Linked DNA regions of Diceros bicornis minor. The protein of the gene in region 1 purifies or fractionates together with the protein of each later gene. This does not show direct contact. Links are inferred from orthologs where the notes say so. Each region holds a gene or a part of one and is shown on either strand. Other genes may lie near its edges. The genes, in order: PLK1, FAM53C, PPP6R2 and ARHGAP5.

The links.
Region 2: the proteins of PLK1 (region 1) and FAM53C purify together in Homo sapiens (affinity purification with mass spectrometry; 3 studies listed by BioGRID and IntAct, counting the BioPlex papers as one, with this or other methods). This does not show direct contact. The link is inferred for Diceros bicornis minor from reciprocal best matches to the Homo sapiens genes PLK1 and FAM53C.
Region 3: the proteins of PLK1 (region 1) and PPP6R2 purify together in Homo sapiens (affinity purification with mass spectrometry; 7 studies listed by BioGRID and IntAct, counting the BioPlex papers as one, with this or other methods). This does not show direct contact. The link is inferred for Diceros bicornis minor from reciprocal best matches to the Homo sapiens genes PLK1 and PPP6R2.
Region 4: the proteins of PLK1 (region 1) and ARHGAP5 purify together in Homo sapiens (affinity purification with mass spectrometry; 3 studies listed by BioGRID and IntAct, counting the BioPlex papers as one, with this or other methods). This does not show direct contact. The link is inferred for Diceros bicornis minor from reciprocal best matches to the Homo sapiens genes PLK1 and ARHGAP5.

The regions. Positions count from the first base shown.
Region 1 is NC_080765.1:28,067,776-28,074,809, forward strand, and holds the start of PLK1 (serine/threonine-protein kinase PLK1), read right to left. Parts: upstream 3,016-7,034; 5' UTR 2,712-3,015; coding exon 2,304-2,711; intron 1,593-2,303; coding exon 1,424-1,592; intron 666-1,423; coding exon 521-665; intron 1-520. UniProt on the Homo sapiens protein: Serine/threonine-protein kinase that performs several important functions throughout M phase of the cell cycle, including the regulation of centrosome maturation and spindle assembly, the removal of cohesins from chromosome arms, the inactivation of anaphase-promoting complex/cyclosome (APC/C) inhibitors, and the regulation of mitotic exit and cytokinesis.
Region 2 is NC_080740.1:56,907,269-56,914,816, forward strand, and holds the start of FAM53C (protein FAM53C), read left to right. Parts: upstream 1-4,538; 5' UTR 4,539-4,596; intron 4,597-4,981; exon of another isoform or gene 4,982-7,510; 5' UTR 7,511-7,548.
Region 3 is NC_080764.1:452,127-459,573, forward strand, and holds the start of PPP6R2 (serine/threonine-protein phosphatase 6 regulatory subunit 2), read right to left. Parts: upstream 3,011-7,447; 5' UTR 2,876-3,010; intron 1-2,875. UniProt on the Homo sapiens protein: Regulatory subunit of protein phosphatase 6 (PP6). May function as a scaffolding PP6 subunit. Involved in the PP6-mediated dephosphorylation of NFKBIE opposing its degradation in response to TNF-alpha.
Region 4 is NC_080744.1:16,893,155-16,900,431, reverse strand, and holds the start of ARHGAP5 (rho GTPase-activating protein 5), read left to right. Parts: upstream 1-4,257; 5' UTR 4,258-4,318; intron 4,319-4,616; exon of another isoform or gene 4,617-4,704; intron 4,705-7,277. UniProt on the Homo sapiens protein: GTPase-activating protein for Rho family members.

The DNA.
Region 1 (7,034 bases):
CCTGAGAAGGCCCAAGCCTATGCCCACCACCCACGCCCTCTGATGGCCTCCATCCACAGACCACAGACACCTCCTGCTGCCGGCCGTAACTCCCAGCCTAATTCCTGCCACCCAATGCTGCTTTCTAGACCAGGGGTTCTAAAATTTATCGTGTACAAGAATGAACCAGAGATATTTTGAAATCCAGATTGTGATCCAGTAGTCCGGGTCCCGAGATTCTGCATTTCTAACAAGTTCCCAGGGGATGATGCTGCTGGTCTGGGGACCACACTATGAGTAGCCCGGGGCTAGAGCAAGTTTGAGGAGACCTTCCCTCCCCCTTCCCCGGACCCATGGCCCAGGCTGCAGGAATCCTATAGGATAGGCCAGTGACAAGGAAAGAAATGGAAATTAGGCTTTATTTTTGGGCAGCCTGTCCTCTGGAGCAGCCTTTCCCTAGGCAGAAAGGTCCACAGGCTAAGGTCAGCCAGGTGAGATGTCCAAAAGGGCCGAGTGGGTCCTGAGACAACCCCCAACTTACATGATGCACCCAATGGACCACACGTCCACCTCGAAACTGTGCCCTTTCTTGCTCAGCACCTCAGGAGCTATGTAATTAGGAGTCCCACACAGGGTCTTCTTCCGCTCCCCGTCATATTCCACTTTGGTTGCCAGTCCAAAATCCCCTGAGACAGAGGAAGCAAGAGGGGGTATCAGATGCTAGCCTCTGTCATCTGTCAGTGCAGACATCTGGTTCAGGTCTGACCATCAAGAACCAGGGTCGCTTGAACCCTCAAGCCTCTATTCCTTGTGCACAGCAAGGCTTGCCCAGGAATCCCCCCACCATGCTGGCCCCAGGGAAGGGCCTCCCAGTGACCCTCCTCACCCCTGACCTTAGAAAGGAGGGCTAGGCTTCTAAAAGGGACTTGATGGGGATAGCAGAACTCAGACGCCTTCAGGGATCAAGCAAGTAAACTTCAAGACTGTTATCTGGCAAGTTTGTGAGGAAGTAATAGGGAGGAGTGGGGACTGTGGCAAACCAGAGGGAGTCTAAAGGGAACAGCTGCTTTTCAGCCCAGCAAAGAGCTGCCCTGAGGGAATGTTGGCCCTGTATTGCTGGAGCTTCCAGTTGTTTAAAAGGAACTCCAAATCCAAGGTTTTATGTCAAGACTAATTTAAAAAATGGAAACTAATTCAAATCCTTTTAAAAAAAATACCGTGTAGGGGCACAAAATCATGCATCTGCAGGCAAGATACTGGCTTGTGAGCTCTTTGTTTTAAATGTCCGCCCTACAGAGAGGACTCCAGAGGCAATCAACAGCTCAGACTTTCCACCACCCTCTACCTCCTCCGTCCTCTCCTTCCTATTTCCTCCCTCCCGGCCTCCTCCTCATTCCCACTTCTCCTAGTGGTGTCAAGCACCCGTGCAGGCCCAACACCTCACCTATTTTCACCTCCAGATCCTCGTTCAGGAAGAGGTTGCCCAGCTTGAGGTCCCGGTGAATAACCCGGTTGCGGTGCAGGTACTGGCAGCCAAGGACGATCTGCCGCAGGTAGTAGCGGGCCTCGGGCTCAGTCAGGGCTTTCCTCCGCTTGTGCAGCTCCAGGAGAGACTGGGCGGGGGAGGAGAGGAGGAATGCGGAGTCGGTACTGAGGCCCGAGGGGAGACGGGGTGTCATTAGGTAAAGACAGCTAGGACATTCCCCCAATTCCTTCTCCAGGACAACTGCGATCTGGGCCCTCCCCTAATCCTGGCCACCATCGTTCATAGCACCCCCTCTCCTACTAGCTCCCTCTCAAGCCCCTCACCTGGGACTCCTCTCCCAGCCCCACTCCGGAAGCTCAGCGTTCTCAATATCCCCTCCCCCGGCCTCTTGGCAGCAGCAGATCCCTTTCCCGACCCCTCTTCCCCGGAAGCTCCGAGGTCTGGCTCCAACCACCCTCTGCCTGACCCAACCCCACTCCGGAAGCTCCGGGTCCACAGCACCCCTTACCCGGGACTCCTCCCTTAGCAACTCCGGAAGCCCGGGGTCCATTACCAGGGTCCTACCCCGGCCCGCGCCGCCCCCACCCCCACCCCTCTGCCGCACACCTAGGGTCCAGGAGCCGCCTTCCCTAGCAGAAACAGGACTCGGGCTCCACTTAACCGGACCTCGCCTCCACCCTCCCCGCCCCCAGCAGCTCTGAGTGCCCAGCACCCTCTACCCGAGACCTTTTCCATCCCTAGCTCGAGGTTCCCAGCACCGCCACTCCAGCAGCTCCGGGCCCCGGGCGCCCCAACCCCGGCCCCCAGGCAGCTCCGGTCTCCCAGGAGCGACACTCACTCTCCGGCGGCAGAGCTCCAACACCACGAACACGAAGTCGCTGTCCTCGAAAAAGCCGTGGAAGCCCACGATGTGCTGGTGGGCGAGGCTGCGGTGAATGGATATCTCCATGGACATCTTCTCTTTCTGGTGTGGCTTGAGCAGCAGCGACTTAGGCACGATCTTGCCCGCGAACACATCCTTAGTGTCCGCGTCCGAGATCTCGAAGCACTTGGCAAAGCCGCCTTTCCCCAGAAAGCGTCCCCGCAGATAGCGCCGGCGACTGCGCGGGTCCACTAGGACCTCCGGGATCTCTTTCGCCGGCGGGGCGGCCGCCGGGGCCCCGGGAGCCGCAGCGCCGGGGACCCCGGCTTTCCCTGGGTCGGCTGGTGCCCGCGCCAGCTTCCCTGCAGTTGCCGCCGCACTCATGTTCCCCGAGTTGCTCCGCGGACCTAGTAGGGTCTGGGCAAATGCTTGGCACCGCTGCGCTCCTCCTCGAATTCAAACGCGGCGCCGGGAACGTTACAGGAGCCTGCGCGCCACTGATTGGCCGCGGGGATTTAAAATCCAAACCCGCCCGCCGCGCGGCACTATGGGAGCGCTCTACACCGCAGCCGCCTTTAAACCCGTTCCCAGCCGGGGAAAAACACTTGATTGACAGGCGCTCGCGGACGGCAGACACGTGGGATGCCTGGGAAACAGTACCCGGCGTGGGGAAGCCGAGCCCCAGGCCGAGGAGAGGAGACAACTTGCAGTTCACATGCACCGCCTCCAGGAAGCTTTTCCCAACACCTCCCTCCAGCCCCACCCCGCCTTCTGGAATATAAACTCGGAGAAGGGAGACCTGGTAGCGCCGAGAGCGAGCTTGGGAGAGCCTTAGCACCCGCCTCCGATGTCATCAGCTCTCTTCCAAGTCACTCCAATAAAGTAAAATCTAAGTAAAACCAGGATGCTTGCCGGGCAAATGCACCTGCACTGCAAGCCTGCTACTCCCCTCCTTCACATGACAGCTGCTCCTGAGCCTCTCTGGGTTGCAGAGCAACGCTGCTCAGAGGAGGTTCCAGGGACCACCAGCATCACCGCCACCTGGGAGCTTGTTAGAAAGGCGGAATTTCAGGCCTTACCGCAGACCTGCCCAGTCAGAATCTGCCTTTCCACGGGGCTGCCCAGGTGATTCCCACACACACGGCAGTTTGAGAAGCACAGTAGGAGAGCCCCCCACTATGCAAGAAAGTGAGTCGTCTGGCTTGCTCACTGCTGTATTCCCCAGTGCCTGAAAATGTGGACCCTCAATTGTTTGCTCAGAGGGAGGATGGCTAGGGGGCAGAATGCCTGGCAAAGGGGAAGTCCAGGGCCAAATCTGTCCTGCAGGGGTGTTTTGTCAGGCTTCCCACTTTTTAAAATTTGGATTCATTCACAACACTTAGAAATCAAGGGGGTTCACATAAAAATTCAGACTTGTAGCTTTTCCTGAAAAAACTAGAGGCTCTGGCAACTCTCCGCCTACATACCTCCCCAGTGTGCCTCAGGTCCCAGCTATCCCCTTTGCCCATTGCCTATCTGGCAAAATAGAAGCCCTTTCTCTGCGCCCCCATACGTCGCACCTTGTGATGTCTTTGATAGAGCCAGCAGAAACCAACCACACCGTAAAGGTCTCTACCTGCTTCCCAATAAACAGAGGCAAGGACATGTTTCCTCCCCACGTCCAAGCTCCCAGCGCAATGCCTGGTAAAAAGGGTTAATGAACATGTCTGCTGAATAAAAGGAAGTTGTTGTTTTTTTAACTACATTTGTATTTTTTATCCCTGTGGTGTGTAATCTTCTGTTTTATCTTTTTTTTTTTTTTTTTTTTGTGAGGAGATCAGCCCTGTGCTAACATCCACCAATCCTCCTCTTTTTTTGCTGAAGAGGACGGCCCTGGGCTAACATCCGTGCCCATCCTCCTCCACTTTATATGGGATGCCGCCACAGCATGGCTTGCCAAAGCAGTGCGTCGGTGCGCACCCGGGATCCGAACCAGCGAACCCCGGGCCGCCGCAGCGGAGCGCCGCACCCAACCGCTTGCGCCACCGGGCCGGCCCCTGTTTTATCTTTTTATCGAAGTTGAATCTGTGTACAGAAAAAGTGTACATACCATAATTGTAGAGCTCAGTGAATTTTCACAAACTGAACACACCCCGTGTCAGCGCACCCAGACTACCAACACCCCAGAAGTCCCCTTGTTCCCTGCGTGGGGGCCCAGTTCCATGATTCACTAGGAGACTCACAGGACTCAGCATCTAGTCCCACTCACGGCCAGCTAGGACGCATTACAGCTACAGGCTACGGAGCACAAGCACAGGGGGCAAAGGCGCATGGGGCCACGTCCAGAGGAAACCAGGCACAAGCTCCCAGAGTCCTCTCCCAGTGGACTCACACAGGACACCCTTCACTCCTCCAGCAATGAGTTGTGACCACACATGCAACATATTATCTACCAGGGAAGCTCATTAGAGACTCAGTGTCCAGGGTTTTCACTGGGGACTGGTCACACAGGCACCCTCTGCCAAGCACACAACCAAATTCCGGATTCCCAGAAGGAAAGCAGGTATTTGGCATAAACCACATTGTTTGCACAAACAGTTTAGGCACAGTGAGCCACGCTTATCATTCAGGGAATGGTGAGAACCCTCCCCAAATCCAAGCTTCCAGTCGCCAGCCAGGGGCCAACCTTGCAGACAGACCTTTCCAAGGAGAGCAGTCTCAGGCCTGCTTGATCACCTCTTCTCTGTACAGTCCACACCCCTGGCCCTTGGCTATGCTTCTTTACAGCAAATCACGATCAGTAGGACCCCACACAAAACGGTGAGACCAACCTGCAGTACTGATCTCAGTTACACCTGTTAGGGTCCTGGATTTAGCCAGCTACAATAAATCCCAATAACTATAGAAGTCTATCTTAGAAAGCCAAGTGGTCTCCTCCTCAGTTTCTGTATGACTCGTTTTCACCCAAGGCATCAATCAGGTACAGCACAGCTGCGGCCGGTACATTCAAGCTGACCTGAAACCTTCCAGGGCAGAGGCAGTGTGGCGACAGGGCACACAGACAGAAGTGCAATGCCAGAGGGTACACGTGGTTCCCCTGGAAATGAGTTTGCAGTGTTAGGGTACCCCAAGGGGGACATACACTAGTCAGGCAGTAGGGGTTAACAGGGCCCCCAGTGTAGCCTCCTACCATGGGGCCTCTTGCCCTCGAGTTTCCAGTCCAGTCCAAAAATCCATGCAATCCTTGGTTTCTGAGGGACTGCCTGAAGAGAGTTGATTCCAGAGAGATTTGCTTGTCCATGATACAAGTCTATCCACCTCATGAGGGTGCACAACACTTGAAGGAGTTCCGCATGGCAAGGGCAGGAGCTGGGCCCCCTCTGTTGTCACACAGTTAGAGCTGCCAGGTGCGATCCCAGGCTCCACACTCTGAACTCAAAAGCACTCCCAGCGCATGCTCCCAGAGGCAGCACTGGGCGTTTCCCCCAGGAAGAGGGGAAAGCTTCCAGGAAGAGTTCTGAAAAACAGATCATAAATGCCCCCCCTTCCCCAAGGCTCCCCAGGTGCCAAGTTTTTACTTTTTCTCCATTGATACAAAATCAGTGTGCCCCACTGATCAGCAATCCTAACTTGACACTTTTTCCATCACCTCTTACTCTCATCCAGGCCTTTCATCTGGAAGGGTTGTATGCAAGAGGCACAAAAGTATTTCTGTAGATAAACATTTTTATACAATGTAACCAGAAAGACACATTCAGGAATTGGTCAGGATGTGTTAAGGGCTGAATTGTGTTCCCCCAAAATTCATATGTTGAAGCCCTAACCCCCAGTACCTCAGACTGTGACTGTATTTGGAGACAGGGCTTTTAAAGAGGTGATTAAGGTAAAATGGGGTCGTTGGGGTGGGCCCTAATCCAATATGACTGGTGTCCTTATAAGAAGAGATTAGGACACAGACTACTCAGACGGAGGGGCGACCATCTGCAAGCCAGTGAGAGAGGCCCCAGGAGAAACCAACTCTGGTGACACCTTGATTGGACTTCTGGCCTCCAGAACTGTGAGAAAATAAATTTCTACTGTTTAAGCCACTCAGTCTGTGGTATTTCGTTATGGCAGCCCTAGCAGCCTAATAGAGGATGAAATTTTGAATTTTCAAACATTTCAAAATGGGTTTACAGAACCTCCTACCCTTTTTATCCAGAGAGCAGCTTAGAAAAGATCAAGCCCTCTCTAGAGACAGCTACATTTGAATAATCAACCTACCTTACCTTCGTGTCTGTGCTGGGGGAAATGTGAGGCGGCAGAGTCAGGCTATCAGCCCACTGTGGCAAGTTGCAATGAATCCAGAAAGCCAGACACAAGTCAACAGCGGTGAGATGTCCCCCAGAGAAGGCCCAGAAGGTCTGATTTGTCAAAAGCAGGCGGAGGGTCACAGTCCCTGTGACTGCCCTCCCCCAGCCTGCAGCTTTCCACGGGGATCACAAGTTAGGATGCAATTAGCCTCTGCATCAGAGATAAAGAGCTGATCAGTAGCTTGCTATCAGACGGTCCCATCAGAGAACAGGCCCTTTCCTGTGGACATTTGTATGTGACCCAGATGGTCCAGCCAGCATCCACGAGGTATGCTTCCATAATTGAGAGCTCCACAGAAGGGGTCCTAAATCTTCAGGGGTCCCAGGGTCTGAGTCCTGTTCATGGAGCCTGTCTCTGCTTTCAGTTCAGCACAGC
Region 2 (7,548 bases), on another chromosome or scaffold:
CTTCTCTGTATATTTGAAATTTTCTGTAATAAAAAATGTTTAAAATAACCTTGGAAGCTCTTTAAAATGCAGACCCTCAAAATTATGATTCAACGGGTCTAGAGTGGGGCCTAGGAATTATCAAGGCCCCCAGGGGCTACTCATGCAGATGGCTTGCAGATCAAATTTTAAGAAACAAATTAGAAGTGCAACCTTTATCTTTGAGAAACAGAAAATCAGAAATACAACCTTTATTTGGTGTCAGGATCTTGGTGGTGGTAGTGGCTGAGAGGTGCAGTGTAGTCAGCTGGGTTTTACCCTTTTCATCTGTGGAATTTGCTTCCTGAGAAAGAAGGGGTGTGAAGAATCTTTGTCCTCTGGGATAGAGATGGTGAATGTGGGAATCAGCACAGATCCCTGCCATGCCAGGTGAGTTCGAAAATCAGGCTGGGGATTAAGGGAGTGTGGGATGAGTTGGCTTCTGTTTTGATGATTATAATCACACTCCATGGGGTCACTGTATACTTCCTTGCAGGTGGGAGGTAGAGACAGATGAAATCGTCCTACAACGGCGGCAAAAGCAGATAGATTATGGCAAGTGGACACCTGGTTACCAGTGCTTTCTGCAGCAGGTCCTCAAGTGAGTGCAGTTGTGAGTGGTCACAACAAGAGCATCAACCAAGCAGCTTTGGTTCAATGTCAGGTGATGGAAAGATACTAGAATCTGAGTGCTCTCACAAAGTTGCAGCATTACTAATACGAATTATCCTGCTGGGCCGGCCGTGTGGCTTAGCGGTTAAGTGTACACGCTCCACTACTGGCAGCCCAGGTTCGGGTCCCGGGCGCGCACCGACGCACCGCTTCTCCGGCCATGCTGAGGCCACGTGCCACATACAGCAACTAGAAGGATGTGCAACTATGACATACAACTATCTACTGGGGCTATGGGGAAAAAAAGGAGGAGGATTGGCAATAGATGTTAGCTCAGAGCTGGTCTTCCTTAGCAAAAAGAGGAGGATTAGCATGGATGCTAGCTTAGGGCTGATCTTCCTCACAAAAAAATAATAAAACTAATTCTCCTGCAATTTAGCCCCCAAAATAAGTTTCCAAGATTTTTTCAAATAGAAGAAGCCATATACTTGGCCCTTAAGACTTTTTAAAGCTTTATCCATGTTTGCTAATGAAGTTTTTTCCTTCTAACCATTTTTATCTCACGCCGCCAGCTGACTTGGCTAACTGCAACATATTTGCCTAATTACATGTAAGTTTACATGCATACCTTCAAACTAAATATATGAAAAGGTAGAATGCATTTTAAAGGGATATCAAATACTGTCTTATATATCTATCTTGACTTCTGAGGGAGTTGGAATATCTAATTTATCCTTCCCAGAAGAAAGAATATTAGGGAATTAGGAAGTTTGGTGTTTAATATGATCTGAAGATTTGGTTTTTCTGTTGGATTGATGGCATTGATCCTACCTCATTCTCAAGGAATTCCCTAACGAGTCTCCTGATTCATTGTGATGAAGCAGTGTGTTGTGCCCCTTCACCTTGACCTCAGTCTAACACATATTTGTCATTGCCAGAGCACAGTGACAGCCAGGACTTCACCCTCAAATGCCAAACAAGAACAGGAGGTACAGCTGTTGCTCTTGGGATGCCCAGATCAGGCAGTGGAGAAGAGCCCTACATTCCTGGGACCCCCCTAGCCAGCCTCTGCAGGGAGGGAGGCTGAGGGGTGTGTGCATTATTCCTGGTTCCTTCTGTGAGTGGTGGACTGAGCCCTACCTCTCCCCACTTTGCAGACGTTTAGCTTTCACTGGTTGAAAAGGGAGTCTGAAGGAGGTGTGTGTTCCTCTGACTCTGCTGCCTTCCTAGGCAGGGAATGGAGAGTCTCTTAAATGGATTTCACTCCTTTGGATGACCTCCTGGATGACTGGCTTCAGACTCTGGAACCCTCAGAGAATCTTGATGGAGACCAGAAGGGAGCCCAGGTAGTGTCCTCTGCTGAAACCCATTGGAGCAGCATCAGAGCGGGGTCTGGCCCATGAGGACACAATTAAGATGTGGTTCAAGGTAGTAGCCCAAGGGCCGGCCCCACGGCTTAGCGGTTAAGTGCGTGCGCTCCGCTGCTGGCGGCCCGGGTTCGGATCCCGGGCGTGCACTGACACACCACTTCTCTGGCCATGCTGAGGCTGCGTCCCACATACAGCAACTAGAAGGATGTGCAGCTATGACATACAACTATCTACTGGGGCTTTGCGGGGGGGGGGGGGGGAAGGTAGTAGCCCAAGAACAAAAGAAGGAAAATGGGGCAGCAGGAACAAATAGCTAGGACATGAGTAAGAAAAGCCTTGAGAACTAAAAGTGGCATAAGGAGATTTAATTATAGTTAGTAATGGGGAGGAGGTTGGGCTGCACTGGGGGCTATTTTATACTTGGTGAAAGGGGTGTAATCTTCCTTTGAAATGAGGCCTGAAACCTGACTTGCAGGTTTGGTTAAGTGTCTCAGTTTCTTTCAATGTTTTGCAAATAAGCCAATGCTAACTTCTTATACTCAATCATTTAACTTTAGTAGGCATGGTTAATAATAAAAAGGGGGATCACCTTGCAGTGAAGACCAACAGCTTTAGAGCCTGACTGCTGTTTTTTTTTTAATTTATTTTATTGATGTCTTAATAGTTTATACCTGTGAAATTTTGGTTGTATATTTTTGTTTGTTGATCACCATATACATGTCTCCCTTCACCCCTTGTGCCCACCCCCTACTCCCATTGCCCCTGGTAACCACAATACAGTTTTCTCTGTCCATGTGTTGGTTTATATTCCACATATGAGTGAGATCATACGGTGTTTGTCTTTCAGAGCCTCAGACTGCTTTTTAATACTACCTTTGTCCACCACATGGGCAGTCACTTAACCTCTCCAGCTATTTCATCTGTCAAATAAGGAGATTTTGTCTCATTTGATGATTCTAAGCAAAAATGAGCATATATATTTAAAGTATGTAGCACGGTGCCTGGCACATAAATGCTCCACAACAGCAGTTATTGGAAGCCATGTCTCCTGTACTTCATGCCCCCCCCCCCCTCCTTCTTTTGCTAAAGGGCAATGTGCAGGGCAAAGAAATGTGCAGTGCATCTTCCCTCCATCCCCATTTTCTTCATAACTACCTCACTTTCCCTCTACTCTTCTTTTTCAGTTTGCAGACTTGGTGGCTCCTGGCTCTGTGAGGAAGATTCCCACCACTGGCTCTACTTTCTAGCTGATCAGTTACTTATCTGTACCAGACTTGAAAGGGGAACAAAATATTTAGGGAAAACAGATGTCTTTCAGGGGACTTGTTGCTAAGTGTAATAGTGAAGATTACTTGCATTACTGCTACTTTCCAAACGATTAAAAAAGAAATCTAAAACTCTGCCCTACAAAGAGATCACAACACGAAGGCATTGTTTAAAACCTCTCCTTTTTCCATCTTTTTGCCCGTCTTTCTAAACCTTCTTTGATAGCTGAGACTCAAGTTTACATAAGAGCCAGAAACCATCTAGCTGTTCCCCAACCTGTTCACCTACTAACTTCTTCAGTCTCTTCAAAAAGGACTTAAACTCTGGCTGAGGTGGGAGGTGATGGTAGTAGTGGAGATTTAATAAAAGGTGGTTTCTTCTTCCTGAAGAGGAAATATAGGGCCATCAACATCTTTTCCCCATCTGCCTGTTTCATCCCTCCCTTTCTGTCTTAACGAAAGAGGTCCAGCTGTAACCACCGTATTCCTCCCGCCCCGCCCCCCCACGCAAGCAACTGAACCGCCTATGATGTCATAATCACAATCCCATTACCTCATCCTGCTGGGCAGGGGGGTTGGGGTGCGTAGAGGGAGGAGGAGTGAACAGCCCTGGGCCCTCCTCAGCTTTACAAAGTGTTTTGGGTGAAGGCTAATTACAGAACCCAGTGGGAAAGGCCCCGCAACCGTTATGAATCCTGCGTTTATAAGGTTCCAGCCGATCCGGCAGCTAGAAGACGGGCTCCTGGGACTCTGAGCAGGCCTTAATGGGCGCTTGGACTACACTTCCCAGAAGCCTTCACGCCGCGGACAGGTCCTCTGCTAGGGGTAGGGGGATTCCTTTAGAGAGGCGGCCGTACAGGGTGGGACAGGAGAGCAGTGAGAGGAACCTTGGCTAATTCTATCATGCTACCCGAACCGAGCAGGGGGCTGTACTTTGGCCCACGTAGGAATGGAGGGCGGGGGCGATGGCTTTGTTTACCTTCGTCCGACACGGCTCCCCCCGCGGGTTTCGAGACATGTCTCCAACTGGGCCCGTCCACCTTCTGCAATATTTTGGAGGGGGTGACTCGATAGTGAGGAAACCACCCTCGTCCCTAAATCAAAGAGCTGGGCTTGTTCCCCACAGCGCTATCCAAGAAAGACTTTGAGACAGAAACGACGCGGGGCTCGAGCCTCCGCGGGCGGTTCGGGGGGATTCTGTGTACCGGAGAGACTGCCTCACTCTCCTGAGGGGCCCGTTGGTTCGCGCCAGCGCCTTTTAAGGGCACCGTGGGGCGAACGGAGCGCTCAGAGCTGCTCTGGCCGCGGCCCTGGGAGCTGGAGGAGCCGCGGTAGGTGGCGGAGGGCAGGTGGCGCTGGGGCCTCGGGGCGGGCACCTCAACCGTCCCTCCCTCCTTCCCCCTTTCCCCTCCCCCAGCCCGGCCGCCCGCGCGGCACGGCCTCGCAGGCCGCCTCCGCGGGGAGAGCACGGGACCCGGTGGGGGAGGGGGTGGCGGAGTGCTAAGTCCCGGACCCTCTTCATCGCCGGCGTCCTGAGTTCGCTTCCCGCGGCCAGATGATGAAAGCTGATTGGGAAGAGGCGAGCGACAGCCTCATTGAGCGAGCCCTAGCCCGCCCCCCCCCCCCCGCCCCAGGGGCCAGCGGACGCCCCATGCCCCACCCCGCGGGGACAGGCAGGGCAGCCGAGGGTGAGGTTGAAGATTGGAGGGGGGCCTAGCCTTTTGCTTCTTCATCGAGATGGGGGGAGGGAGTGCTCCCCACTTGTCACCCCTATCCCGGCCAGAGCCATATGGAGGAAGAGCAGTCAGGTCCCCACTTACCTGTTCCTGCACCTCCCTGCCTCCCTCATGTTTTCCTTAAGTCTCCCCCAGAGGTGTGGGGCTGGGACCTGCGGGGAATGTCCCCAGGGGATTTGTGACTCTCCTCCCCCTTGGCCTGACTTGATCCTAGGTTCTCCAGCTTTCAGCACAGCCTCAGCATCCCTAAAACCCGAATGTCAGGAGTTACTGCCATCCAATAGGATATGGGGTGGGAGCCCAATATTTATTTTAGGGGGCTAATGGTGGAGAGAAAACCTGGATTGAAAGTTGGGCCTGGTGGGGTTTTGGGGAGGGCCTAGCGGCCTGCTGCTCTATGAAGGGCTGAGCCCGGTGCCAGTTGTTGAGCTGAGAAGTTTTAACTTTTTAGTGAATGTTCAGGGCCGTTTCTGCCCCTCAGATATACAAAATGGAAGGGGAAGGAAGGCGGCAAGAGAGGGCTTCTTACACTTTTTTCTATGCTTGCCTGAGAAAGAGGAGGCCCCTCGCGGAGCTGGTTTGCCTTCTTTTGTGTCCTGGTTTGATTCCTTATGGCTTCCGTTCTGTTCCCCCTCTCAGCCTGGCCTGTTTTAGGAAACTCAGGCTGAGAGTATGAGTTGTGTGGTGGTAGTTGTATTGTTCCAGTTACCACCGTGTGTGGCCACATCCCAACAATTAAAATGCAGAAAAATACAAAATCACTCTCTTCACTTGATCCCAGAGAGAGCTGGGAGTTTGCTGTTTGGCCAAATGCCTCATGAACAGCTTGAAAGAATTTGCTTCACTCCCTGCTCATGGCTGGTCAGCCTGAGGCCTAGGGTCTCCGGGGTAAAAGCCTGCAGTTAGGTTCCCTCTCTGGTTGCTCTTTGAGGGCAGAGTTAAGAAACCAAGAGCAGAAGTGATATAAGGTTTAGCTTCTCCCACAGGGACATAGGGGAAGCAGTTGAAGGGAGCTCTCAGGAAGCTGGAACTTGGTTCAGGGTGGTAATAATAATTATGCGTGACAATGGTAGTTAACTGTAATGATGATTGACTTTTCTCACACCTTTTTTCAAAAAAACTCCAAGTACCTCCACGTGTATTTCTTTGCTCTTCCTTATGGCCTGCCTCCCCATGAGGTGGGAATGGGGCAGAGATGATCCCTCCTTTTTGCAAAAGTAGAAAGTGATCTGCCCCCAAGGTCACAGAAGAGCCTTTTTGGGTCTCTCTTGGTATGCAGATCAGGGAGGTGGGCATCTAGCCAAATAGATAAACTTGGACTGCCTTCTTCATCTTAATGATAGCATCACTTGTGGCATTCTGAGGCTTTGTAGAGCAACAAACAGGAGGGTTGAGAAATGGCAGTTTGTGTGGACTCCTGATTTGTACAGATCAGATGGTATGCTTTTTACATTTTGATATTTTATGTTTTATTGTCCCTGTGACAGATTATTCTGCCCATTCTACATATGGGTAAACAGGTCAAGAAAGGTTAAATGATTTGACAAAACTGTCACAGCAAATCCGATCAAGATTTAGGTTTCTTGATAGATTGTTCTCTCTACTAGCAAATGCTACATACACTCTCTGGTGAGCTGTCTGCTTGCTGATCATTGCCAATTTCTGGGAATTGGCAATACTATATCGAAACACTAGGTTAACCTCTCCTCCTCCCTTGAGCATGGCCCCTCAAGCAATTGTGTGGGCTTGAAGCCTGTTCTCTGATAGAAGTAGTTTGCTTCTACTGTAATTGACTGTGAGAAAGAGTCTTGATTAATTGTATCCATGGTCTTTGAGTCAGATCAGGCTAAAAACTTAGTTGAGTGAAGTCATAGAGTTGTTTTTAACATCTATGGAGTTGAAATGTAACTGGAATTACCCTGGTACCATTTCCTTATCCTCTCACCATTTTTAAGAGAATATATACAGTATCTCTTGAAAACAATAATATATCAACTGTTCAGGCTAACAGAGAACATAAAACCTTGTTTACTCTGATTGGTCTGAAGCTGAAAGTCATTCCTACAACCACTGCTCCTCCCTGTTCCCTATTACTATTTCTGTAGTTTAGGAAAAAGGTACCTCTGTTTGCTTGTGCCTGGAAGATAAAGACAATATTGGGCTAATCAGGATAGAAGTAACCATTTGGGCATCCCTCTCTCTCATTTGAGCTGTTTTTGAAGTGCTGGTATTCTGGGTAGACAGAGCAGAGCATGAACCAGGTTAGGAGCAGCAAATAGGTTTCAACTTGCTTGCCAACTCCAGTTCATTTTAGTGGTTATCTGGAGTGCCAAGTTCAGAATGTTTCTGAAGCTATGTTTAGGCTTAGCAGGAGAGAGCTGTGATCAATTAATGATGTCTGCCGGAGGCCTGGCATAGGGATGCTGTGGTATGTATGCCATGCATTTTCCATCTCTGGACCAGGTACATCTCTAATATCACTTGGGGCTGGTCCCTCTGTAATTGGCAGACTCAGCAGGCATGACTGGAGAGGGAAGTCCCAATGGT
Region 3 (7,447 bases), on another chromosome or scaffold:
TGCACGTGCTGTCCCCTCAGCCTGGAAGGCTCTGACCCCTCATTCTTCTCATAGCTAGCTGCTTCTTGCCCTCCAGAGCTCAGCTAACATGAGAGTTAGAAGAACCAAAAGGGAAGAGAAATCAGAAAGGAAGGGACATGGAGAAGAGGTGAAAGGCTGAGAGTGTCAGTGATGGTCCAGGCACTAAAAGGCCAAGGGCGTGGCAGGGAGAAGCCATGGGGGAAGTGACTGGCAAGGTGAGAGTAACAGGCTAGAGAAGGCCACAAGGACAAGGCAGGTGGGTACAGTGACAAAATGGGGGAGGGGGGGCGGTGAGAGGCAGGAACTAAGCGCAAGTGACAGACTGGGTGAGCTGGTGGTGAGAGGACAGGGGATCTGTGGCAAATGGTAGTGGTCAGTAACAAGTGGGTGGACAAGGCAGGTAGGCTGCAAGGACACAAAGGTGGCAGGTGGGGGTGTGCGGAAGACGTCACAGCGACAGGTGGGGGGCATTCAAAGGGGCCAAGAAGGTGCACGGGGGAAGGTGACAGAATGGGGATAGGAACAGCAGTCAGTGAGTGGACAAGGGAGTGATGGCAGGAGGCCCTGCGGAGGGAGTGTCCTACACCCCACCGGCAGGAGCCGGCAGCACTGACGGGTGGGACAGAGCACTGACGGGTGGGTCAGAGCACTGACGGGTGGGTCAGAGCACTGACGGGCAGGGCCCCTAACAGACAGGGGTGAGGGAGGAGGCAGCGAGGAGGGGGATGGTGACACTGACAGGCTAGGGAGGACTGATGGGGGACCTCGACGGGCAAGGGGGGGGAACCGATGGGTGGACAGACAGGGTGGACAACGACATGGGGACCTGGCAGCACAGGGGGGAGGAGGGACATTAACAGGGAGGGCACTGAGAGTGAGGGTTACTGACAGAGAGGAGGGAGGACTGGACAGGGAGGAGGGGCACTGACACATGTGACACTGATAGGAAGGACGGCACTTAGGGGGTCACTAATGTGGGAAACACTTGACTGGGAGGAGGTGGGGGAGGGGGTGGACACTACCTTGGGGGACACGGGGGCAGCACTAACACGTGGGACACGGATGGGGTGGACATTGATGGGGCGGACACTGCCTTGGGGGGACAGGGGGGCAGCACTAACACGTGGGACACTGAGGAGGAGGGCACTGATGGGGCGGACGCTGATGGGGGGGCACTGAGGGGGCGGACACTAACGGGGAGGGTACTGAGGGGGTGGACACGGACAGGGGGCCACTGACGGGGCGGACACTGACGGAGGCACACTGACGGGGCGGACACTGACAGGGGGGCACTGACGGGGCAGACACTGACAAGGGGGCACTGAGGGGGTGGACACGGACGAGGGGGCACTGACGGGGCGGACAATGACGGGGGGACACAGACGGGGCGGACACTGACGGGGAGGGTACTGAGGGGGTGGACACGGACGAGAGGGCACTGACGAGGTGGACACTGATGGGGGGACAATGACGGGGCGGAGACTGACGGGGGGGCACTGACGGGGCAGACACTGACAAGGGGGCACTGAGGGGGTGGACACGGACGAGGGGGCACTGACGGGGCGGACAATGACGGGGGGACACAGATGGGGCGGACACAGACGGGGCGGACACTGACGGGGAGGGTACTGAGGGGGTGGACACGGACGAGAGGGCACTGACAGGGTGGACACTGATGGGGGGACAATGACGGGGCGGACACTGACGGGGGGGCACTGACGGGGCAGACACTGACGGGGGGCACTGATGGGGCGGACACTGACAGGGGGCACTGACGGGGTGGACACAGACGGGTGGGCGCTGAGGGGGTGGACAGGGATGGGGGGGCGCTGACGGCATGGACACTAACGGGGGGCGCTGACGGGGCAGAGCGCTGATGGGGTGGACACGGACGGGGGGGCGCTGACAAGGCGGAGCGGTGACGGGGTGGACACTGACGGGGGGGCGCTGATGGCATGGACACTGACAGGGGATGGACACTGAGGGGAAGGGGGCACTGACAGGGTGGGCACTGATGGGGTGGACACTGGTGGGGGGTGGACACAGAGGGGGTGTGGACACTGGTGAGGGGTGGACACAGAGTGGGGGTGGACACTGGTGAGGGGTGGACATTGGTGGGGGTGGACACTGAGTGGGGTGGACACTGGTGGGGGGTGGACACAGAGGGAGATGGGCACTGGTGGGGGTGGATGCTGGTGGGGGGGGTGGGCACTGAGGGAGTGGGCACTGAAGGGGTGGGCACTGAGGGGGGTGGACACTGAGGAAGGGTGGACACTGAGGGGGCGGGCACTGACGGGTGGGGGCACTGACAGAGGGCAGACACTGAGCAGGGGTGGACACTGGTGGCTGGTGGACACTGAGGGTGCTGGGCACTGGTGGGGGCAGACACCGGTGGGGGTGGACACTGGTGGGGGTGGACACTGATAAGGGGCGGACACTCGTGGGTGGTGGGCACTGACGGGGGAGTGGACACTGGTGGGGGTGGACACTCGTGGGGGTTGGACACTGAGGGGCAGTGGGCACGGGGAGTGGACGCTGGGGGGGGCAGACACTCGTGGGGGTGGACACTGATGGGGAAGTGGACACTGGTGGGGGGTGGACACTCGTGGGGGTTGGACACTGAGGGGGAGTGGGCACTGGGGAGGTGGACACTGAGGGGGAGTGGGCACTGCGGGGGGTGGACACTGGTGGGGGGCGGATACTGAGTTGGGGCGGACTCTGGTGGGGGGCGGACACTAAGGGGGTGGGCACTGAGGGGGGCACTGACGGAGGGGTGGGCTCTGGGGTGCACACTCCGGGGGCACCGACAGGCGCGGGCACGGTTTGAGGAGCCGCGGCGGGCGGCCTCACTCACCTGCCCCGCGGGCCCGGCGACGCGGCGGCTCCTCGGAGGCCCCGGTGGGGGCCAGGGCGCTGGCGGAGGCGAAGCCCGGGCGGCCTGGGGCGCCCCGCACGCACATGGGCCCGGCCGGGCGCGGCGCCCACGGACACGGCGCGGGCCGGCCGGCAGCTCGAGATCAGCTAGGGCCGCGGGCGGCGCTCGGGTCTCTCCAAAATGGCGGCGGCGGCCGGGCGCACGCGCGTGGGGGGCGGGGCATCGCGGGGGCGCGCTCGTTCGCGGGGGGCGCGGGGGCGCGCGCTCACGTGGACGCGCCCGGCGGCGGGAGCGCGAGGGCGTGGGCCGCCGGAGGGCGGAGTGGGGCGCGGTGTGGTTTTGTCCCTCTCCTTTTCCGTCTGAGGTGTTGCTGAGTTTCTACACAAGCGTAATTAACTTTCTGTAGGATGATGCGTTTGCAGTAGTAAAGTTTCCAATGCTACGTCAGTCACAGAACGGCCCCTCCAGAGACCCGAAAGGATTTGAGGATGCCACACCGGGGCAGGGGTCTCCCGGTTCTCTGGGGCCTTCCTCTCCGCCTGAAGACCCTCCCCCTGGCGCAGCTGGGTGTCTCCGAAGCTACTTGGGCTCGCGGCGTGGACACGGTGGGCAAGAGTGAACAGTGGTCAGCCCCCGTGTGCCAAGCGGAGGTCCCCCTCCACTCCTGCTTCCTAACTGGCCTGGGGGCGCCTGAGCAGCAGCCCCCAGACTTGTGTTTTCCAGGTGCCCCGCAGGTTCTTGCAGTGTTTTGCACATTAAAATATGTGCCCATTTAACATTTGTTGGAATTGTTTAATTCAATCAAACTAATCTCTAAAATGAGAATTATTTCAGGTGTCAGCGTGAACCGTGGGAAAATGTTGGAAAGAGAAGTCGAGCACTTAAGAAATACCTAATACTTGTGCTAGGTAGCAACTTGTTGCCTCTCAGCTGCCGGTGCACCGCGGCGCTCTGCGAAAACGGGTCTGGGCTCGCCTGTGCTCAACTGTGTCGGTAGGGGGCGCAGGAGAGGCGTCGCGGGAGGAAGGGTGTGTTCCGGGCCTCGCTCTGCAGTTTGCCCGTCTTCCTTCCCTGCATCCAGCTCCTGCAGCTTCCCCAGCTCTCCCTTGGGCAGCTTTATAGCAGAATGTCTCTGGTGAGGCATCTCTCCCTAAACACCTTTCCCTGGTATGCTGCAAGGCAGATTTCTGGCAAGTTCTATAGTGTGAACTTCCAGGAAGTGGTGGTAAAAAAGCATCAGCCTTAAACCGAGAAGAGGAATGTCCTGCAAGCCCTGCAATCGAAGGCCCCTCCCCACAGAAGCTGGGGGTGCCGTGGTTGAGCTGCAGAATGGGGGCTCAGGGCCAGGGGTCCTGTGCGGGAGATGTTCCCACTGGTTGTGCCGCTGTGTGAGCGCCTGCAACCCTCTGCCTGATCTTGATGCTCTTCCTGTGCTCCGGCCAGAGTGCCTGGGGTCAGCTGGGGCCCCACTCCTCCTCTCATCCCCCACACTGGATTCATCAGCAAGTCCCTCCACTTCTAAATATAGCCAGCTCTCCACCACCGCGCCCTGATCCAAGACCAGTTTCTCTCACCTGACACAACAGCAGCCTCCCAACGGGGCTCCCTGCTTCTACCCTGGCTACTTGCTGTAGGCCAGCTTGCTGTAACCAGCATAGCACCCAGAGGGATCCAGTGGAAAAAAGTTGGATCACATCCCTCCCCCAGGGCTCCCGTCTCACACAGCGCAAAGCCAAAGTCCTTGCTACTACTTACAAGGTCCCATGTGATCTGATCTCATTTCCCCTCCTCTGTCCCTTGTTTGTTGGCTCCAGTCATGATAACCTTGTCACAAGCCACTTGCCCATGCTGTCCCTGCGTCTGTCATGCTCTTCCTCTAGTTATGGCCGCACTTACTGACCTGCCTCCTGAATCTTACTCCACTGCCCCCTTCTCAGTGAGAGCTTCCTGGCCTCCCTATTTCAAATCTGAAGCCTACATTCATGCATGCACACACACACGTGTGCATGCACATGTGCAAACATGCATGCACACATGCAAACTTCATAGTCCCCTTCCCTGCTTGGTTTTTCCTTGTTGTATCAATAATCATGGTCCAATAAGGGGATAGAAACCACACAATGTCTTCAACAGAGGAATTTTCATATAGAAATTATTGAGAACAAGGGATTAATTGTAAAGGAGTAAAGAGAACTCTAGATTCAAGAAAGGACAAAAGTTGGAAGGTGGTCCCCTCCCCAAGGTGGGAGTTCATTCTGTGTTGGAGAGTTGTGTGGCTGCAGCCCAGCGGTCGACATAGACATTCTCTGGGGTGTCCCAGGACACAGCTGATCCATAGTCCCTGAGCAGAGACTAATGGGCAGGAATACACCCCTCCAAGGTGCATGCTGGCTAAGCCTGGAAAACTTCCTGCTGAAGTGTCTGCAAGACTCACTGGGAATCCACCCATGGGGGTGCTGCTGAAACTCAGTGAGAAACCATCCAGAGAGGTGGCACCGCTGCATGTCTTCCACATGTGACTCTGACAGCTGTGCAGTAGGAACAAGAAGAGAAAGGATGCACATCGAAACCAGAAGTCCCTTCTTCCAGCAGTGACCCTCCGGCACTCTGTACTGGCAAAGCTTAACATTGTGCCAACTGCAAAAGAGAAATGCTTACAGGATCCAGCTCCATTATCACAGTGCAGGTAAAGAGAAGTGGATTTGGATCTGAGGCAATCAGTGGAAAACAGGCAGAGTTTGACTCTCTGGGTAGTCAGCTTCTGTACGCATCCTTTCAAACATATTTGAACTTCCATACTATAAGAAAACAATGCTATATTTTCACCTAACACGATACATCCATCCTTATTGCAAGTGAAGAAATTCTCACTCTTTCCCCAAAGGCAGCATATTCACAGTCCCATCAGTCATTGAATCTATCATTGGCTACATTAATTACCCCTCAAATTCTGTCACTGTTCCACTGAATATTCTCTTATGCTCTTATGTTAAAACTAAATAGGAAAGTTAACCTCTGACAACTTGTATATTTAAAAAAAATGGAAAGCAGAGAGAAGAAAATGGTGCATATATACAAATAAACACACACTATAACATGCAAAGAGAAAATGCGCAAAACTGCTACAACCTATGTTTCTGTAATTGGTCACAAGATGTAGTTGATACATGTGGCTTTTTAACAGATTTCTCTTCTAAACTCTCTTCTAGTGTACACAGAACAGTTAGAACAAGCTGAATTCAGTATTTCTGACACAGAAGGACTAAGTAAAATAAATTCTATCACTAAGAACCCCAAATGCAAAATTATTGACCAATAAATTGGAAAAAGTGAAACTGTGATGTAAAATGAGTGCTGCCTCTGGAGTGCCGTCAGAGCAGGAGGAACTGTGGCTCTGTCCTGGTCTTCTCAAGAACCCCACAGTGCAGCAAGACACAGGACAGGGCATCCAAAGACCACCACTCTGTGAACCCAAGTAGGACAAACACAGAGAAATCCACACCCATAGACACCATAACCACAGCGCAGCGTGTCAGAGACAGAAAGAAAACCACAAAAGTAGCAGGAGAAAAATGACCCATCACATAAAGGGGACAATGGTACAATTAATAGCTGACGTCTCATCAAGACAATGGAGTCCATAAGGCAGTAAAATGGCTGAAGGAAAAATAAAACCTGTCAATGAAAACTTCTACACCCAGCAATACTATCCTTCAAAAATGAAGGTGAGATAAAAATATTCCCAGATAAACAAAACAGAAGATTCATTGCCAGCAGATCTGCCTTGCCACAAATACTAAAGAGATTTCTTCAAGCTGAAATGAAATCACATCAGATGTTCACTCAAATCAACAGGAATGAATGAAGAACCATATTCAGCAACATGTAAAAAGGATCATCTATTGAGACCAATGGGGTTTATCCCAGGAATGCAAAGTTTTTTTAGCATCCAAAACAGAATTAATGTAATACACTATATTAATAGAGTAGAGGATAAAAACCACTGGATTTGTCTGATAGTTGCAGAAAAGGCATGTGGCTAAATTTAATACCTATTTATGATAAGTACTCTCAATAAAGTAGGAAAAGATGGGAAATTCCTCAATTTCATAAAAGATATCTAGGAAAAATCTATACTAACATTGAACTTAATGGTGAAAGATTTAATGCTTTTCCACAAAGATGTGAACGAGGCAAGGATGTCTGCTTTCACCATTTCAATTCTACATTGTAGAATTCCACATGTAAGGAGCTTGGGCATCACCACTCCATCCTAAGAACTAAAATGCTGAACAGATTGAAAAATCAGCAACTGTTCTTGGATTTGTAAGAGAAGAGAGGACACTGGGCAAACCACTGCTCCCAAGATTGGAGAAACAAACAGGTGGATACAAGTCACCAGGCTTACCAAGCAAAGATTCACAGGCAGGAACTGCCAGGGGAACCTGTGCCAGCTGGGTTCCCTGAACTGTATTTGATGAATTTCTGGAGGCTCAGAGTGCGCAATGCTGAGAGTGAAAAACTCTGGGGTGACCCAGTCATAAGGACCCC
Region 4 (7,277 bases), on another chromosome or scaffold:
ATACCTCCTTTTGTGAGAGGAAATAACTTGAAGATTTTTGTCTAATTAAAGTATTTGTGCTGGTGGGACCTGAATGAATTGTTATTCCTTTAAAAGGAGTCTGCATTACAAATAATCTTTATAAAATACTAATTATTCAAAAATAGAAGAGTTCTGCTTTCACTATTTTAATAGTGTCCTAGGACCAGAGCGGCATGAACATGACATTTTGAAGCTAGACTCTGATAGCATCTTTGGGATTTCAGTCTGAAAATACAGTTCTGGAAAATCAACAGAACAAGGCTCTGTGGAACAAAATGCCAGGAAGGTCAATGCATTACTATCCTACTGCTCCAGTCCCATGCTCACAATTACCTTCACTCTTGTCAAAATATTTTCTACAGTAACAGCCAAGACATAATTAGCACTTTTTCTTCATGCTGAAAATATCATTGGTAGCCATAAAACACATTTGGAGAAAGCTTTTCAGCACCCTAACTCAGCAAATGGCTACCATGGTTATTAGTGCATCATGATTTGCCTACAAGTGGGAGTAACAACCCATCTCACTCTGCCTTCCCTCCTCCCAATAGGCCTAACTGTATGAGATTGGGAGAAAGAGGCAAGTCTAGGCAGGAGGTGGGGGTTAGGTGGGGGTGGAAATGAGTTGTGAAATTCAATAGGAAATTAGACAATAAATAATCTTTTTGTGCTTTGGTCATTTAGTTATTTGCCTTCATTATTCCTCAACTTCTTTGTGTATTTTGTCTGCAATCAAGGTGATATTCTGAGGTAGTTTGTTCTCCAAAAGTCTGCCTTATATCAGATGGGCAAAAAGTATTGGTCAATTTTCTCCTTAATTGAAAGGCCCTTTGTTTGGCTTTTCATATGTTCTTGGTTGAGGCTACAAAAGCCAAAGTGGTTATGATCAGAGATTTCCAGCAGGGGGTGTAGCCGCTTCTATAGGGTAAGTTCTTTTGAAGCCAAATCACATCAAACATCTGAATATTGTAGTGTTAACGACTGATGGTAGAAGCTGGAATTTTGATAACATTTTTTGTGGCTATCCTCTCTTTTGACCCTAAAAAGACCATGCATATTAATACTTTATTAGGACGTGTTAAAGAACTAGAAGTTTGTAGAGAATATTTAAATTAAAAACCTAAAATGCCTGACTGAAATTTTATTCTGCTATTTTTTTCAAAGTAAATGAAGAACAAAGCTTCGGGTGATTTTAATTATCCAGTACAGCAGAAAAAGTGCTTAAATTTTTTATTTTAGATAAGAAGAGTAGTTGATCTGAGAGGGCTTGGTAATATTTACTCCATCTCTCGTGTGTGTGCGCGCGCGCGTGTGCATGTAAAGAATAAATTACTTATTTTCTCAAAATTTCTTCTTTTGGGTAGGGAGGGTGGGTGTTTAAAGCTGTTTCTTTGAAGGCATGGCTCCCGATCAATTGTTAAAAATGCCATCTTATGCTTTGGGTTTTGTTTTATTTTCTGCTCTTTATTGCTTTTTTTGTGAGGAAGATTGGCCCTGAGCTAACATCCACGCCAATCCTCCTCTTTTTTGCTGAGGAAGACTGGCCCTGGGCTAACATTCATGCCCATCTTCCTCCACTTTATATGGGACGCCGCCACAGCATGGCTTGACAAGCGGTGCATCGGTGCCGGGCCGCCGCAGCAGAGCGCCCCCACTTAACCGCTTGTGCCACCGGGCTGGCCCCTCTTTATTGCTTCTTATTTGTAGATATCAGAGCATTTTCAACCATCTGAGCATTTGGCCCCCAATTCCCATTTTCAGATTTTTATTTGTACAGAAAACTGTATGATTTTTTGAGAAGAGCAAGTAACAAAAAATGATAAAAATTTGTTAACTTATTTGTACTGGTAAGCAGCTTTAGACTATTCATATTAACAAAGAGCAAAGTCCTAAGGTTCTAGACCCCTTAAATCAAGATAGATGATGTAGGCGGGCTAAAAATAACGTCAGCTATGAAAATTATCATTTGAAAACTGTGGCTTTTTTTTTTTTTTACATTTTCTGTTGTCTTTATTATGAGAAAATGAGACTCCAAGTAGTATCGTGTCTTGATTCTTCAATATCACGTCCTGTTTTAAAGATGACACGTTCTTCAGATGTTAATGTGTCCTTTAAAAGTCCTGATTTATTTGACTTTGGTTTATGTTGATGCATGCTCATGGTTATGAAATTTCTGATTATTTAGGAAATAATTTTTAAAGTATCTTTAGGGTAGACACCCTAAAGTTATGACTGAATTGGCTGCTTGTATTTTTAAGGACTTTTAGTACAAAGGTCAAGAAGTTCATTTAAATGCATGAACTCTCCAACCTATACAAGCGATATAGGTACTTATGACTTTATGACCACACTTTGATGGTTCCACCCCTCTCCCCAATTTCCTCCTCTCCTTTTTTCCTTTCCTCCCCTCTATATTTACTATCATTGCAAGTTTTCTTAGAGTCCTTCTTTGCCTATGGTTTGTAAGTGAAAGAAAGATGCACCTACAGATGTTACTCAACCTATACAGTATTTGGTACCATTCAGATGCAAGAGAGTGGCTGGAGTAAGGAATTTTAGTCATGCCTTTTTAAAATTAGGGAGTAAGACATATAGAGAAATTAATCATGTCTCTTCTGCTTCTATTAAGTTTACCTTTGAGAAATATGGAGAGTAGAGAGTAGGGGTGTGGAACAAACAAACAGAACTTCTGCTGGAATATTGTAACAGATTTACTGACAAATATTTTCCAACGGATTTTTACCAAAAGGCAGTTTTTGTTCTTCTTTACTAACAGACTGTAACTGTACTTCTGGTTGGCAGCAGCTGCATCATTATAACACTAAAAAGCAACCTTGGCTAATATCATTACCTTATGTAACATACGAAATAAAGAATAACTTGAATTTCAAAGACTTTTTATATGTTAACTTTACTGATGACGAACTGTTTTCAATGCAGGCAACAAACCTTGCCGGGAAGAGAAATTCTCCCTCAAATTACTTCCTCCTTTTAGACTTAGCAACGAATGGGGGTAGATTTATGTTTTTGCCCATTCTTTCATCTGCTGGCAACTATTTTAAGACATCTGTGTAAGACAGATTCTGATGACCTTGGGAAAGTCACAAGACCTCAGTTTCTTCAATGGTAAAAGGAAAGGCATTTTTCTACTGTCCTTTCTTGCTCATCAATGCCAATGCCCAGACAAGAAATACACGGAAAGCCCAGGGTACCCCCAAACTTGTGAGATTTCTAGAAGGCTCAAAAAATACTCAATATATTTAAAGCCGCATAATAAAAACCAGGTGGCTGGTGGTTCCTCAGGTTGGGCTGGTAGTGGTGTGAGCAGGGGTCTTTGGGGTCACCCTAAAACCCTCCCCAAGTCTTGGCATCTCGTTCAACTTCCCTAAGAACGGATAAACCAGGGCCTGCCTGCGTCCCTGCGTGGTGTCGACGGAGAAATGGATTCTTCTTGCTCCCATGGAGTTTTGCCTTCTGGGTGCGCATGGCTCCGGCTCCCGGGCGGGTGATGCCTGTGGCTGGCGAGCATCCCCACGCAGGACACTGGCCGCACACACCGGAGCACACACGCGAGCATGTCCCTGCGAACGAGCTTGGGCGCATGGTTTCCTCCCTTGAATTCTTTAACGCTGAGACCGTGGGGTGATTTTTCGAGAATCAGTGAGTGCCCCTGCGATGTTTCGCAACGCCTAACACAATACATATCAGGTTCCTTTGCAGTTTTGTGGTTTGCTCTCAGTTACGGCCAGAAACCGGAACCGAAGGAGAGGGAGAAATCAGGGAATGCTCGCAGACGGCCGTGCTCTGGGCTGCACGGTCTGCAGCCTCTAAGGCGTGGAGGATGGGACGGAGGAGGAGCAGACCACGGAGAAAGGAGAAAGCTGAGGAAAAATACTCACGCCAATGGGTAAAAGGGAAAAGGTGAGAAGGACTGGAGTAGGAGAGGGAACCAATGGGTGGGAGAGGCGGAGGAAGAAGGGGGAGGGGCAGAAGCCAATCGGTGAGGCGGCCCGACTGCGAGACCGCGGGCCCGCGCGCTCGCTCCCCTCCCTCCGGCTCGGGCGCTCGCGCCTTCCCAGGCTCCCGGGAGACGAGGGCAGGGGCGGGGCCCAGCCGGGCGCGCGGCGCGGGAGGCGTCGCGAGGTGAGGGCGGCGGGGGCGGGGGATTGTGGGGAGGGCGGCGCGGGCGCGCGCGCGCGCGCCCCCGTCGAGACTGCCCCGCCGCTCCGCCCCCGGCCGGGTGTGTGGCTGCGCGCGCGCGTGCGTCCCGGCGGTGCGCGCCGGGAGAGATGCTGAGGTAAAGTTCGGGAGAGAGGGAGAGAGATCCGTCAGCCGAGGGAGCCCGAGTGGCCGCCATTACTGAGCCCGGCGCGGCGGCGGGCGCTGGGGAAGGGGGGGAGGGTCGGGGCCACCGCTGGTGGTGGGGAGGGAGGGGGGAGGTTGGGTGACCCGGCCGCGGGAGCCGTAGGGCTTGAGGTTTCGGGGCGTGTGTGTCGGGGAGGGCGGGGGGAGGTGGCCGAAGGGACGCGGCGCTCGGTGAGCGCGCCGGGGAAGAGGCGAGCCGAGAGTGGAGGAGGAGGCGGCGGCGGCGGGAGCGCTCCCCAGGAATGTCGCTGCCGCCGCCACCGCCACCACCGGGGCCGCTGCCGTTGAGGAGGAGACGGAGGAGACCGGCGGTGTTAGGTAGGACCGTGCGCCCGCAGCTCCTCGGGGCCTGCCCGCCCGCCCCCTCCCCGCTGGGGACCCTCCCGCCGCCCCGCTCGGGCGCCGCCGCCGGTTGTAACCAGTTCAGGGCTGGGGCCCCGCCGCCGCCGCCGGGGGAGCCTGGCGCCGCGCTCCGTCCTCGCAGGCCGGGCGGGCAGCGGCGGCCGCGGGGGACACGGTCGGCGTGAAGGGCAGAGAGGCCGGGGAGAGGGCGCTCTCCCCACAGGTGACGGGGTCGGGGGCGGCGGAGGCCTGGCGGCCGGGACCGCTCTCGCCCTGGTGGCGGGCGGTACGTGGGGAAGGACGGTGGCGGTGTCCGTTGGCCGGGTGGCCGCCGTTAACGAGTTCCACCTGGCGGGGGGAGAAGGGGTGGGCGCCTCCCCGCGGAAACACGATCTGGGTTGCAAACTTAAGCGCCTTTCGGCGGATCGGCCCTTTCACTCTCCCCCCGTTGCCCCGCGCCTCCCTCGTTCCCTTCAGTTTCCCATCTGCCGCTGCAGCTCGGGTAGGGGTGAGAAGTTGCACTGCGCAACCCCGACGCGGAGTCCTGTCGGCGGCCTGCGCCTGGGCTGGGGCTTTGATATGGAGTTTTCGCTGGAATAACCTCTAGGTTCTCCCTGTTTCCACTAAAGAAAAGTATCGGGGTGGGGGTGGGGGTGGGGGTGGGGAACGGCGCGGGAGCGCGCGCGCACTTATCCACACAAATCCACTCACTCCCTCGCCCCCGCCCTCCCCGGCGTTATTAGAAATGCAGGGGAGGTGGAGGCTCCGGGTGTAGTCGAGGCTGGAAGGTGCTCGGAAGTCAGGGCGAGCGAGGAGGACGTTTAGTAAAATTCCGAGAAAGTTGCAGGGGAGACGCTTAGACTTTTACCATATGATAGAAATCCAGCTTGGGCCCATGCTTAATAAATGGGAATTTAAATGTTTTAAATGTAGACCAAAATAGGCACGCAGATGGTGTGTACGCGCGTTTTTAAGTTTAAATTTCCAAAGATGATTTGCTTTTTCTTTTGCGATAGGGAGGAAACGATATCATTCAGAAAAAATGTTCAGGTGTAAAACAGTGAAATACGTCGCTGTATTTACTAGTCTTTGCTTATGCTGCCTTCTACAGGTGTTGGGCCCGGGAGGGGTGGGGGGCTTATGCAGGCTCCGCTTAAAACAAATCCAAAACCAACGTTCGGTTTGAACAGGGTAGTGGAGGGTGTTTCTTTGCATTGAGAATCTCATTCACTTCAGGGAATATTTCTCTAAGTCGTCATTTAAACTGGTTAACAAAAATTTGATGTAGATGCAACTATTCTGAAAAATATTTGGTCAAATAAGATATATTAGTAAAATGTGTTTGGAGATGCTTTACTGTCAATTCCAGTTTATTTTACTTTAATATGATAAAACTCTATTCTTATTTAGTATTTTTAGATATACATACTGACCATATCGGTAACCTACTAGACAGTTTCTAGATTAAGGTTTTCCATTTTAAGTTGCCTTCTCGTTTTTGGCTCTTTCATCTGTTCTTTGTAATTGACCCACATTTCTTGTACCTATAGTAGAGCAGAGGAAGAGAGTGAATGAGTGCTGGTCACCAACAATTTGAGTAGGCCTTGGAGTACTTTATGACTAAACATACATGATTGAAAAGCTGAGTGTATCTATGCATTTAACTTTCAGGAAATAGCACTATTGATCTGATTGAGGTAAAGCAGAAATTAGAACGATACAGAGGACTAGCTAACAGTTGATTTGGTTGTCACGTGTAGGCTATGTTTTTTAACCCCCCCTCAGCGTGTCTTATTTTACCATTCTTTGTTCATTAATTATAAGAGCATTGGGGAATGGGGTGGGTTACACTTTGATATAAGAAAGAATTGTCACAGAATTATGATATGTTTATTAGTTTTTAGCACACCCCCCATTTAAATTAGTTTAGCAATTTTAAAAAAATGCAAAATTAGTATCTTAACTCTGTTACATGGTATTTATCTAAATATTTTGAAACCATCCTTCCTGCCTATTCCTTTTTTTTCTGAGTGGTAGATTTAGTACATTTACTCTTTTGGAGAAAATAAATTATTTTGACCTTGAAAGTTAAGATTTTTTTAGGGAATAAAATACTGTATTTGCATTCCTTTTTTGGAATTGAGGTTGTGATATAGCTTAGAATACTAGTTTTGTAACTCACTTTTTTAAATTGAAGAAAAAGTTATGTCTCATGAAGACTGTACTAAACTTTCACTTTTTCAACGTTAGCAAGACTTAAGTGTTGCTTTTAGTATTGACTTCTTAAATATGAAATGGCGTGATAGAGATTTTCTTGGTAGCTACAGAATAAGATTTAATTGTCACTACTTCAGTTTCCATAGATGACATTTTAAAAACTATTTATTTGGGCTGTAAGATCCATGATTTTTTCTTTGTACACCAAGAAGATATGGAAATAATGTAATTGACTTAAGAAGCATCGTGTAGTGTTCTGTTTTAGTAGAGTCTTTGTTCCTAAAAGATGTTTGTAAAATACCTTAAGTACACCAGGGGAATTTAGTTTTTAA